Linked DNA regions of Pelodiscus sinensis. The main gene of each other region encodes a partner of the protein of the gene in region 2 in a complex. Links are inferred from orthologs where the notes say so. Each region holds a gene or a part of one and is shown on either strand. Other genes may lie near its edges.

Evidence for each region.
Region 1: FLCN (region 2) and FNIP1 share a complex: the UniProt entries of both Homo sapiens proteins name them as parts of the lysosomal folliculin complex. The link is inferred for Pelodiscus sinensis from reciprocal best matches to the Homo sapiens genes FLCN and FNIP1.
Region 3: FLCN (region 2) and LAMTOR2 share a complex: the UniProt entries of both Homo sapiens proteins name them as parts of the lysosomal folliculin complex. The link is inferred for Pelodiscus sinensis from reciprocal best matches to the Homo sapiens genes FLCN and LAMTOR2.

What each region holds. Positions count from the first base shown.
Region 1 is NC_134727.1:26,107,884-26,111,630, forward strand, and holds the start of FNIP1 (folliculin-interacting protein 1), read left to right. Parts: upstream 1-1,420; 5' UTR 1,421-1,442; coding exon 1,443-1,672; intron 1,673-3,747. UniProt on the Homo sapiens protein: Binding partner of the GTPase-activating protein FLCN: involved in the cellular response to amino acid availability by regulating the non-canonical mTORC1 signaling cascade controlling the MiT/TFE factors TFEB and TFE3.
Region 2 is NC_134726.1:33,890,963-33,894,709, forward strand, and holds the start of FLCN (folliculin), read left to right. Parts: upstream 1-923; coding exon 924-1,172; intron 1,173-2,565; coding exon 2,566-2,712; intron 2,713-3,747. UniProt on the Homo sapiens protein: Multi-functional protein, involved in both the cellular response to amino acid availability and in the regulation of glycolysis.
Region 3 is NC_134734.1:16,810,805-16,814,551, reverse strand, and holds the start of LAMTOR2 (ragulator complex protein LAMTOR2), read left to right. Parts: upstream 1-799; 5' UTR 800-891; coding exon 892-959; intron 960-2,316; coding exon 2,317-2,479; intron 2,480-3,607; coding exon 3,608-3,697; intron 3,698-3,747. UniProt on the Homo sapiens protein: As part of the Ragulator complex it is involved in amino acid sensing and activation of mTORC1, a signaling complex promoting cell growth in response to growth factors, energy levels, and amino acids.

The DNA.
Region 1 (3,747 bases), on a different chromosome or scaffold from region 2:
TTCTTCCTGGTTCATTATTTTGTTGTTACCACTTTAAAGCTAGTTTGTAACATTTGGTTTGTTTATAATGTGAAGCTTCCTCTTCATGCAAATCTTCACCTTCCTTCTCTGGGTATTGTATAGTCTGAACCGCCCACGTGAGTCACTTTTGCTTTCATTCAGATACTGCACTGTGGCACAGTCTCTTAAATCTGTAACTGGCAACTCTTTATGAAGGAAAGAAAGTAAAAAGCTGGATCAGTGGGGGGGAGCCTCCTATTTTTTATACCAGAGTCTTCAATTCCCATTGTCTATATATACACACACACACACACATATTTTGGATTCAGCACCTAAATTCTGCTAAATCTGGCCAGTCTCTGGCTCTAACCACTCTAATTCTGCCATATGAAGAGAGAACAGCTGAATGCTCTTCTTACACCAAAAAACACCTGATCCCTAATGCAGCAGGATCCAGCAATGCTGGAAATAGGTCAATTTGGCACCTGGATTCTGCCAGGGTCTAGCTCTCCACAGATTCCACTGCCTAAACAGAAATCCTCTTTTGCCACTCTCGTTGCACCTGAGAACTCAGGAATTGTCCCATCAAAATAGAGAACAAGTGGCACTTCTAGCACTCGAGGAAGAAATTCTGGCCTCTAGTAAATCCTGGTAGAAGAAAGCTGTAAAGACTCACCTGCATCCCACTACATTTAGCTATTTGTGACTTCGGCCCCTCCTCCCCAGTTTTACCAATTAATGCAGTACCGTCAGATACAGTTTCTACCAGAATAATCCAGACCATACTGGAAAATGGAAATGTTTCCTAAGATGCCGAAACAATTTCTGAGTTACCAGATCAGACACTAGATCCCAGTTTTTTGCCTCCTTGCTGAGCTGGGGCCCATGAGGTTCGACTGTTGCATCTGGAGTCTATTCTCTATTTAGGCAGAGACTGTTTCCCCCCGAGGAGCAAAAATTCAGATCCGTCCGGCCGCCTGTACCCTGTCCTAGCGGTTTAAACCATTTGCTCTGAGGTGCACCGGGCCCTATGGGGGCTTTGCTGAGAGAGGGAGGTCTCTGCACACTCGTTCTGTATTTTTGTGGGCGGATCAGGGGAATCCTAGTTGGATCAAACAGGAGCTACGTGCAGGAGCAAGGCTGTTGCAATGGGATCCTGGCAGCCCCGGCGTTAGATTCGGTATCCTAGGAGAGCTTCGATTTGTTCTCCATTTAACAGTGGAATGGGAGGGGGTTGCTGCTGCGGCCAAAAAATAGCTGGATCTGTCCAGTTTTCCCCCGGCCCCACCAAAACCTAGCGGGCCTGCTTGAGCAGAAAAGCCCCCCACGTGGTGCTGGGGCCTCAGCCACTCAGCGGTGCACGGCCCCGGAGAAACCCCTCCCGGGCCCGCCTCCCTGCGATCCTCCTCTTCTGGCAGCTCCAAGTGACTAATTTTTGTCATATGACTGTGACACCAAATGGAGTCGGGTTCGCGGAACTAGCTGCCTGCCGGAGGAGTTCGCTGCTCCAGCCCCAGCGCCTCCGCTGGGTGCAGCGGGGAGAGAAGGAGGCTGGGGGGCAGCGGGGAGCAGCGCGCCCCAAAATGCCACCCACCTTGTTCCAGAAGCTCTTCAACAAGAAGCCCGGGCTGAGTTCTCCTGCCAGGGACTCCAGGGAGGAGTGTGTCTTCAGGTAACGCGGGGGGAGCCCTGGGCAGCCCTTCCCTCTCTCTCGCCCGTGCTCACAAACTTGGACCAGTTCGTTACTTTCTAGCCTGTTTGCCTGATGCAAACTACTCCTCGCCCCTGCTATGGAAGAGGCCAGAGAAGAGAGGATCGGGGGGGGGGGGTGATTTTGCGCTCTGTCTGGAGGGCTCTGGTGTGCAGGATTGGATACACTGACTGAGCTGGCCCCCTGCAATCCTCCCCTCCCCCGTTTGACACACACATTTGGTGTGTTGCCTCCTTTCCCTTCTTCCCAGCCCCTTTCCCGGGAGAGCCCTGGGAGTGGAGAGGCTTCTTGGCCTGGGTTCCTCCCGCTACACAAGAAGCTGGACGGAAATCCCTGATGCGCTTTTTGCAATGCACTGGGACGCATGCAACATTGTTTCTCCCGAGTGTTTCCTAAAGGTGCCCTCCGTCTATTCTCCTCCAACGCAACCCCTTGGGGATCCCGGCCCCCCGAGCCCTTCGCTCTGCAACAAGTCTTATTTTCATTGCCGTCCTTCTTTGTAAAAAAGTTGCAAAGCAGAAGTAGCCTCTTAGCGCTTCCCAAGATGGGTTGCTTCCTCTGATTAGGTTGTGACTCTTCCTTTTGGCGTGGGTTGGGATTTCTCGCTTCCCTTTCCCCGTCCTCCAATTCCTTTGTTAACTTTATTTTATTTTATTTTATTGCCTTTGATGTTTTGACGCACTTTTGAGGCTGCAGATTTAACAAGCCCCCTAAAAAAGACGCCATTCTTTTGACTTTCTTGAAGTGGCGAGGTGGTTGCTATCTGGAAAGAGCCACCTTAATAAATACTAAGAGGGAAGAGCAAATATGAAATGCAGGCTGCCAACAGAAGTGTAAGGTTACTCTTAAAATCTGTCATGATCTAACCACAACAAAACTGAATCCACTAAGCTTCCAAACACAAGACTGCAAGAAAAATGCTTGCACCCTCCTTACAAATGCTTCGCCACCTTTATCTCTTAACATTAAACGTTTCAATTTAAGCTGATTGTATGTGTAATTCCCTGTATTTCTAAAATGCTAACAGAATATGGTTTTTTGTTGTCTGGAGAAAGCAGATCCCTAGAGATCCAGGGACACCTGTGTGGTATAAGGACTTGAATTTGCAGTTTTTTATGAGGACTCCAGTGTAAAGTTAAAAATCAGGACCAGAACTACACTTTTGGCAGTTTGTCCCTATTGTAACTTATCAAAATTCTAAAAATAAGATTAAAGGTTGATCTAGCCAAAGGTATTTTAGGGTCTATAAAATAACAGTAGTAATGGATAGACAGAGCAATAACCATCTAGTAGATTTGTGTAGAAAAATCTGGTCTAGTTGCAAACTATTAATTTAAACCACTATCATGACTTTGTAACTGACATGTAAATAACACTTTGCATTTGTTGGTGTGAATTGCGGGGTGTGAATATTTACATTTTAAATTGACTGCTTGGAACAGCTCTCCATTTAATATTTTAAATATCTTTGTAAGTTACATTACACAATGTGATGGGTAACATGTAGACCTGAGGGCTGCCCTCTGGATCTGTACTGGATTACAGTACCATCTTTCTGTAGTTCCTGAGACCCAGTCACTGCAAACATCGGGGATGGTAAATACTAAACATACCCATTTATTCTCTCAAGAAAACCATTTTCACAGCATACTGATTGATCTTCCATGTTTTTATGAAATAACCTAGAATCCAGTGCCATAAATGTTGGAATACACCTGTAGCAAAATTGGTTTATAGCTTCCCAAACACCTCCATTTCATTTTCCAGCTGAGTAATTTATTTTATTTTACTGACATACTGGGTGGGCCAAAATTTCTTCTTTAACAGAGAGAGAGAGAGAGAGCCAATTATATTTTACCTGATTTTTATGCTGTCCAGACACTTCTTAATGATAAACTTCTACTGAGGATTTAGTGTACAACTCAACAGCTGTGTTCCATACACTAGGGATATTTAGGATTGTGTGTTGTAAGGAAGAAAATATTACTATATCATCTTCTGAGGTCTTCCTCCTCCCCTTTCTTTAATACAGAACA
Region 2 (3,747 bases):
CTGGGGGGGGTCAGGCAGGTCCTAGGTGGGGGGGTGTCCCTGGGGGGGGGTCAGGCAGGTCCCAGTGGGGGGGTGTCCCTGGGGGGGGTCAGGCAGGTCCTAGGTGGGGGGGGGGGTGTCCCGGGGGGGGTGTCAGGCAGGTCCCAGGTGGGGGGGGTGTCCCGTGGGGGAGGGTCAGGCAGGTCCCAGGTGGGGGGTGTGTCCCGTGGGGGAGGGTCAGGCAGGTCCCAGGTGGGGGGTGTGTCCCGTGGGGGAGGGTCAGGCAGGTCCCAGGTGGGGGGGGTGTCCCCGTGGGGGAGGGTCAGGCAGGTCCCAGGTGGGGGGGTGTGTCCCTGTGGGGGGGGGAAATCAGGCAGGTCCCAGTGGGGGGGGGGGTCAGGCAGGTCCTAGGTGAGGGGGTGTCTTTGGGGGGAATCAGGTTTTGGGGGGTGGGGTGTCCCTGTGTGGGGGATCAGGCAGGTCCCAGGTGGGGGGGTGTCCCCGTGGGGGAGGGTCAGGCAGGTCCTAGGTGGGAGGCGGGTGTCTCTGTGGGGGGTGCAGGAGTCCCCATGGGAGGTGTTGGGCCAGGTCTCTGCTGGGGAGGGCAGGTGATTCCATGGGATAGGTCAGGTCAGGCCCAAGCTGGAGGGAAGGAGGTTGGATCTCCCCTGCCCTGGGCCCAGGCCTGAAAATCCTGCCCTGCGCTTGCCCATTTGCACGGAGAGAAAGGGCACGCTGAGCGCTGGGCTTCGTACTCTGCGCGACCCCGGAGGAAATGAACTGACCCTAGAGCTCTGCAGAGCTGAACTTGATTCCCGGCTCCTCCTGAGTGGGAAGATCGCAGCTGGTGCCGTGGGGATGTGTTGATTTCTGTTCATTATACTGATGTGGGGTGCTTCCTCCCTCACCTGCAGGAGAGCCGAGGAGCGAGTGAAGCTACAGCTATGAACGCCATCGTCGCCCTCTGTCATTTCTGTGAGCTCCATGGCCCTCGCACCCTCTTCTGTACAGAGGTGCTGCATTCGCCGCTTCCGCAAGGCGCAGGGAATGGAGACAGCCCTGGGCAGAGCGAGCAAGCAGAAGATGAAGAAGGTGGCATTCAGATGAGCAGTAGGATCCGCTCACACAGCCCAGCAGAAGGTGCTAGTGCTGACTCCAGTAGCCCAGGGCCGAAGAAGTCAGATATGTGTGAGGTGTGTATATGAGCACCCTGTGTCCTTTGCTGAATGAATGGGCCATGGCTTCTCAATGAAGGGCGTGTTATTATTTGGGGCACGGAAAATGGCTTATACTTGCACGGAATCTCGAAACCCTAATAAACTATAGACTAGGGGGCTGTGCCCCCTGCTTGCATCTCTCTCCAAATCCCCTCTCGGCAGGGGAGGGCCCAGCCCAGCTGCCGGTGCCCCGGCTCTTTGTCACCCTGGCTCTTTGTCGCCCCTCCTATCCTGCCCCAGGCTCTTTGTCGCCTCTCCTACCCCAACCTGCCCTGGCCCTTTCTCCCCACCGCCACTAGACAGGGCCAGGCCATGGTGCACTAGCACCAGCTCTCCCCCAGCAGCTGGGGGGTCCGGGCCAAGGCGTGCGCAGAGGCTCGTGGCTTCCACCCCCCCATCCAGAGCACGGAAAGGAGGCTGGAGCGATGACCGCCCCAGCCTCACACTTACTTGGACCGCCATGGGGAAGTGCCTTCATAAACTCCACGTATGGGCCTGGAGGGGCTGCAGCCGATAGGGCTGCGGGCGAAGAGGCCGGTCAGTAGGGAAGCCTGCCATGAGAGCTGGTAGTGTGGCAAGAGGCTGTTTCCGGGGTGTGTTCTGGGTTGCAGTTGGGCGCGTGGCAACGCAGAGTGACGTGATGACTTCACTCTGTCATCCCACAGGAAAAAAATGTTTATCTATCTATCTATCTATCTATCTATCTATCTATCTATCTATCTAGAGAGAGAGAGAGAGAGAGAGAGAGAGAGAGAGAGAGAGAGAGAGAGAGAGAGAGAGAGAGAAATTGCTTTGCCATAGTGAACGCACAGCAACACTTACAGAAAAGTATAACGCAGGAAATGGAAACAAATTCTGTAGCCAGTTAAATGTATTTGCCCACGTTTTTGTGTGTGTCCATCCGTACCCCTTGGTGCTCTTCCACTTAACGTTAGTACCCTCTCTAATAATCCATTCCTAGTGTGCTTCGTGTCTCTCTAGTGGGGACAGATTTCAATATGTCAGTGGGTTCGCAGTTGCTTTACCACTAGCTGAATTTGGCCAGTTGCATAGCCCCTGTCAAATACAAAATCCAGTGAGGAAGTGAGTTGTGAAAGAGGCTGTAAGAGTGAAAGGATGGTTAGGAGGTGGGAGAATGGATCAAGTCCCTACTGCGCCGCAGACTTCCTGATCTAGAGTGAATCACTCTGCCTCTTGGTGCCTCAGTTCCCCGTTGTAAATACTTTCCTACCTCACTGGGTCTTGTGAGGATACTTATGCTGAAGATTGTTAGTCAGTCAGGTGCTGTGATAACGGGGCCTACATATAAGTATATTAAATAGTTGTCTCTTACTTTACTGTAAGATTTTTCTTTTCTTTCGGTGGCCAGGGTTGCCGCTCTCTTGCAGCAGGACACCCTGGATATGTCAGCCATGACAAAGAGACATTGATCAAATATGTCAGCCACCAGCACCCAAACCATCCGCAGCTGTTTAGCATTGTGCGTCAGGCTTGTGTCCGCAGCCTGAGTTGTGAGGTAAGTGATATGAAATTCAGCAAGAAAAATCTGTGCTGTTTCTAATCTAAAACTCAGCTTCACTGATATCGGCCTCCTCCACGGCTTGTAACTTGGAAGGGGTTGGAAATGGAATGCATGGCCAGAGGACCCTGGGTCTCAGTATTTGGCAGGAATTTTTTAAAGATGACTGCAAAGGACAAAAAATACCGGACTCTGCTCTTTGATGCATAAAGAAGGCATTTATATAAAATGTCCGTCTTTTCAGAGCGATGACGAGTTAATTTTGAACTTGCGTTATCTGATCACTTGGAATGCTATCTTGCGTGATTTAGCATACAAGGTAACTAATCTGTTCCACCTAGCTGTGCCTCTCTGAATACATTCCCAGACCTGCAGTAGAGCTATGTGTAGTCCAAAGGCGTGTCTCTCACCAACGTGTCCAGTAGATGAGATTACTTCACCCACCTTGTCCCCCTCTCATTTGATCTGTTACTGAAGAGAACCGGTGTTCACTTTGGGGGTCTACTCTACACCTGAAGCAAAGGCATTTGTATCTCAAGGCTGTGTGTTTGCTTTCTTGCTTTTGTCCCTATTTGTTTAACGTATTTATTTCCAAAATAAGCCTCCTTGCAGGCTGTTGCTCCTGATAAATGCTGTTTCTTACCTGGTGGACTGATAACTTACAGCCTTTACAAAAGGAGGGAAAACCTCACAGAAGTTGAGATTGCCCCAGCTCATGTACCCACTTCATCAGCTTTGCTGCTCCAGAATACAGCCGTGTTCTGAAGTGCCAGTTACCCTGAAGGTTGTGCCAGGTACATGGGGCAGCAGCAGAGATGTCTGGCTCTGCCTGTCAGGCTTTTATCTGTTGGGTGATGCTTCTGCCTGTGCCTCAGCAGGCAACACCCGAAGGAGTGGGAAAGCTCCTTTTGAGGGCTATGTCTAGACTGCAGACTTTTTTCGAAAGAGGCTCTTTCGAAAGATCGTGTCTAGACTGCAGGCGGATCTTTCGATAGAGGAAATCCGCTTTTTCGAAAGAGAGCACCCAGCGAG
Region 3 (3,747 bases), on a different chromosome or scaffold from region 2:
AATAGGGAAAATGACACTGATAGGGCTGCAGTGTCATCCCTGCCCAAATTATCAAACTCCTGGGTCAGGTCTGCCAGAAGCCATGAGATTGGCTTAAAAATGACAAGATCTTCCAAAAATAACATGTATTTGCTTTTTTTTCCTGAGTCTTTAGATGTCATGCTTATCAGTTTTTCCTCTACAACTGCAATGTCCCCAGACAGTAGGTTGGTGGTTTTGTTTTGAATCACCAGCCTCCTCATATTTGGTGTCTGATTTCCAGCATGAACACCTGAAGTCCTATAGAAGTCAGATAGATATGGAGCTGATGGGTTTTTTGCGGGGGAAAAAAATCTTGTAAATGTGACCTACATATTCCTAAAGGCTCGAAATCCAGCAAGCAAATAAAAAGAACACAAAATTGTTCTAGGGGGCTGACCCGTGGGTCTCTTTCTATCTCTTCCCTTTCTACATGCTTGGCATTTGCAACATGGCAATCGTGAAGTTTAGAAACTTTGTTTTCATGAAAGCTGAGGTTCAACTGACTCCAGCAGCTGGGGATGTTAAAAAGACCCAAAATGTGTGAGTTGTCTGTAGCTTGTATGAAGGTAAATGGTATGTTTCCTGTGGTGTGATTACAGGAGATCACAGTAGTTGTGTGAACTGCTAAGGACTGGGGTCGTTTGGTGTGTAGCACCAGCGGTATGCTAGTCACCCACAAAGAGAAATTGCCCTGCAATCTGTGTGCATGAAATGCCCTGTCTATGCAACAGAACTGGAAAAGAACTACAACTCCCAGCCTGCTGTGGGCTGAAGTCGCCCTGCACGGGTTGATCAGCTGATGGGGAAGCAGGCTCTCTGAGCTGTGTGTGTTTCCACCACTGCAGGGAGGAAAAAGGATCTGTTGCTACCATGCTGCGCCCGAAGGCCCTAACCCAGGTCTTGAGCCAAGCCAACACTGGAGGGGTCCAGAGCACCCTGTGAGTATAAAGGGAGTGGTGGGGGAGAGGAGTGGGCATGGCTGGGTATGGATCAGGGAACCCTGTCCCTGAAGTATTGTGACCAGATCAGTGGTCCCATTAAGGATTAGTGCCCCCTCCTCCAAAGGGTCTTCCCCTCTCCCTACATCTCCCACTTCATGCCCCGGTAGGAACAGAGACATCTTGGTGGCCCCCCACCCAGCTTCAGTTGTGTTGTACAATTCCTTTTCTGAAAAGTGGGGAGGAAGAAGCAGCCCAGTGCACCCTAATAAGGAGTAGTCCCTCCTCAGAGGCATTAGATGTGGATGGGGGGGGGGGGGGGTCAGCATTCCCTGTAAGCTGAGTGCTTGCCTTGGACAGTCACCTAGGAGAGATTCAAATGCTGCCCAGCTGATTAGCAGAACACTTGCAGTGCCCACAGCCAGTAACCTATTTCTGCTGGTGGTGCACATTTGCACATAAATTTTATTTTCCATATGGGTGGAAAAAATTAGAGGGCACATTGATAGGGGTAAAAGGGTCTGGCCAGGACTTCCTCCAGAAGGCATTGTGGGGGACAGGGGATGGGAACTTGGAGAGCAGATTACTAATATTTTCCCTGCTGAAGCCCTGGGGAGAGGTATGTCAGTGAAGTACACTTTGGTGTTGTTGCATGCAGGTAGTCTGTTTTTCTTGCGTAGATCTTCTCTGTGCTGGGTCTGCATGTGGGTAGCCACATGAAGGCAAAGAAATGGGGGCGGGGAACAGTTGCATCTGTATCGCCTGCAAATCCACAGATCACTCTTACAAATGCAGATGTGGATACAAACGTTGAGGCTGTGCCAGGAGTTGTGCTCCCAGCACTGTAGTCTGGTTCACACTGGCACTGTGCTGTAACTTACTGCGCTCAGGGGTTGCGGGGGGGCACCCCTGAGCCAAAAAGTAAAGTGCCAGTGTAGACTTAGCCCGTGCGCACTCTCAGGCTGAGGCTGTATCCAGAGCAGTATCCACAAGACAGTAAAATAAAAAATTTGGGAGGTCCATTCCCCCACAGCCCTCTCTTCCTAGGAGCTGCTGCACCCATGGAAAAAGAGCACCCCTGCTAGAGAGGAAGGATGGTTTGGGGTGTGTAAAGTAAAGCTCTGCCACTGCCTTATCTGCCCTTGGTCTTATCACTTCGCCTTGGATACCCTCTCTAAAATGAGGGTGAGACATGCCTCAGAGGGGATGTCACGAGATTCCGTGTGTGTTCTGTCTGATCAGATACTAAGGTGATGAGCACCATAGAAACCCCTATGAGTGAAGTCCGTGCCTAAGCAGAAGTGGCACAAAACCCTGTGGGCTCTTGGCTCAAATTCTCCCCCTCTGTCCTTTGTAGACTTCTGAACAATGAGGGATCTCTACTTGCGTATTCTGGTTATGGAGACACAGATGCCAGGGTCACGGCGGCCATCGCCAGTAACATTTGGGTGGCCTATGACAAGAACGGTCACCAGGCTTTCAATGAGGACAACCTGAAATTCATCCTTATGGACTGCATGGTACGTTGTGAGGTGCAGGGATGGGGCAGGGATTCATTCCTACAGGAAAGGCTCAGTTTTTCAGCAGTAGAATGCTGCTACATGTCTCCGCTCTTATCAGTTTAACCCATAGATCCCTGAAACAGATGTGGAATTGGATCACAGGACTCCAGATGCCTGTTCTCCGCTCTTCCATGGACTGATATAGGTTAACTGCCTCTTTTCTGCCTCAGTTTCCCCATGTATAAAACGAGGATAATAGCTGCACCGTGGGGTAAGGCTGAAGTTCAGATTAAGTACTTAGATGCCATAGCAACACAAGTTATCCAAAGCCAAAACTTGAAGCAGGTTGCCATTCTTCCTTCTCCCTCGCACACATGCGGCTGAAAGATCTTATTTCAGAGCAAATGCCTTGCTCTTTAAGAATGACCTAGGCTTTCAAGTGTGATGGGACAATCTGATGGGATAATGTTGGTCAATTTGTTTGATCACCTTGTGCAGGGCAGTAAGAACATAATACCTTGCTCTGAAGCAGCATTCTATCATCAAGTCTCAGGGGTAGTTGTGTTAGTGTGTATCCACAAAAACAACAAAGAATCCATTGACACCTTAAAGACAGATTTATTTGGGCATAAGTTTTTGTGGGCAAAAACCTGCTTCGTCAGGTGCATGGAGTGGAAGTTACAGAGGCAAGCATTAACATACTGTACAATTTCCATTCCATGCACCTGACGAAGCAGGTTTTTGCCCACAAAAACTTATTCCCTTATAAATCAGTCTTAAGGTGTCACAGGAATCTATCATCAGTAGGTTTCTAAGCAATTCACAAAGGAGGGTCGTCTCCAGTCTTACAAATGGGAAAGAAATGAGGTGACTTTCCAAGGTTAGCCAGTGCCAAAACTGGAAAGAGAATCCAGGTCTCTTGAATTCCCAGCAGACTGCACCACAGTGCCTTCCCAGTGGAGATTTGGATCCCCAGTGTCTGACTGTAAGAGCAGAAGGTTAAAATGTCCGGGACATGGGGGTTCTAGAGTGGAAACCTATCCTTCAAATCCTCTTTTTTTTTTTTTTTTTTTTTCTTCTTCCCTTCTGCCGGCCTCCCCTTCTCTCCCTCTTCCACCCCTCCCCCCCCCCCCCCGCCAACTGCAGGAGGGTCGTGTTGCTATCACTCGGGTGGCGAATCTCTTGCTGTGCATGTATGCAAAAGAGACCGTTGGATTTGGGATGCTGAAAGCCAAGGTGATGCGGAGCTGCCGGATTGCATTTGGGGCGGGGGGCAGCTGTGTAGC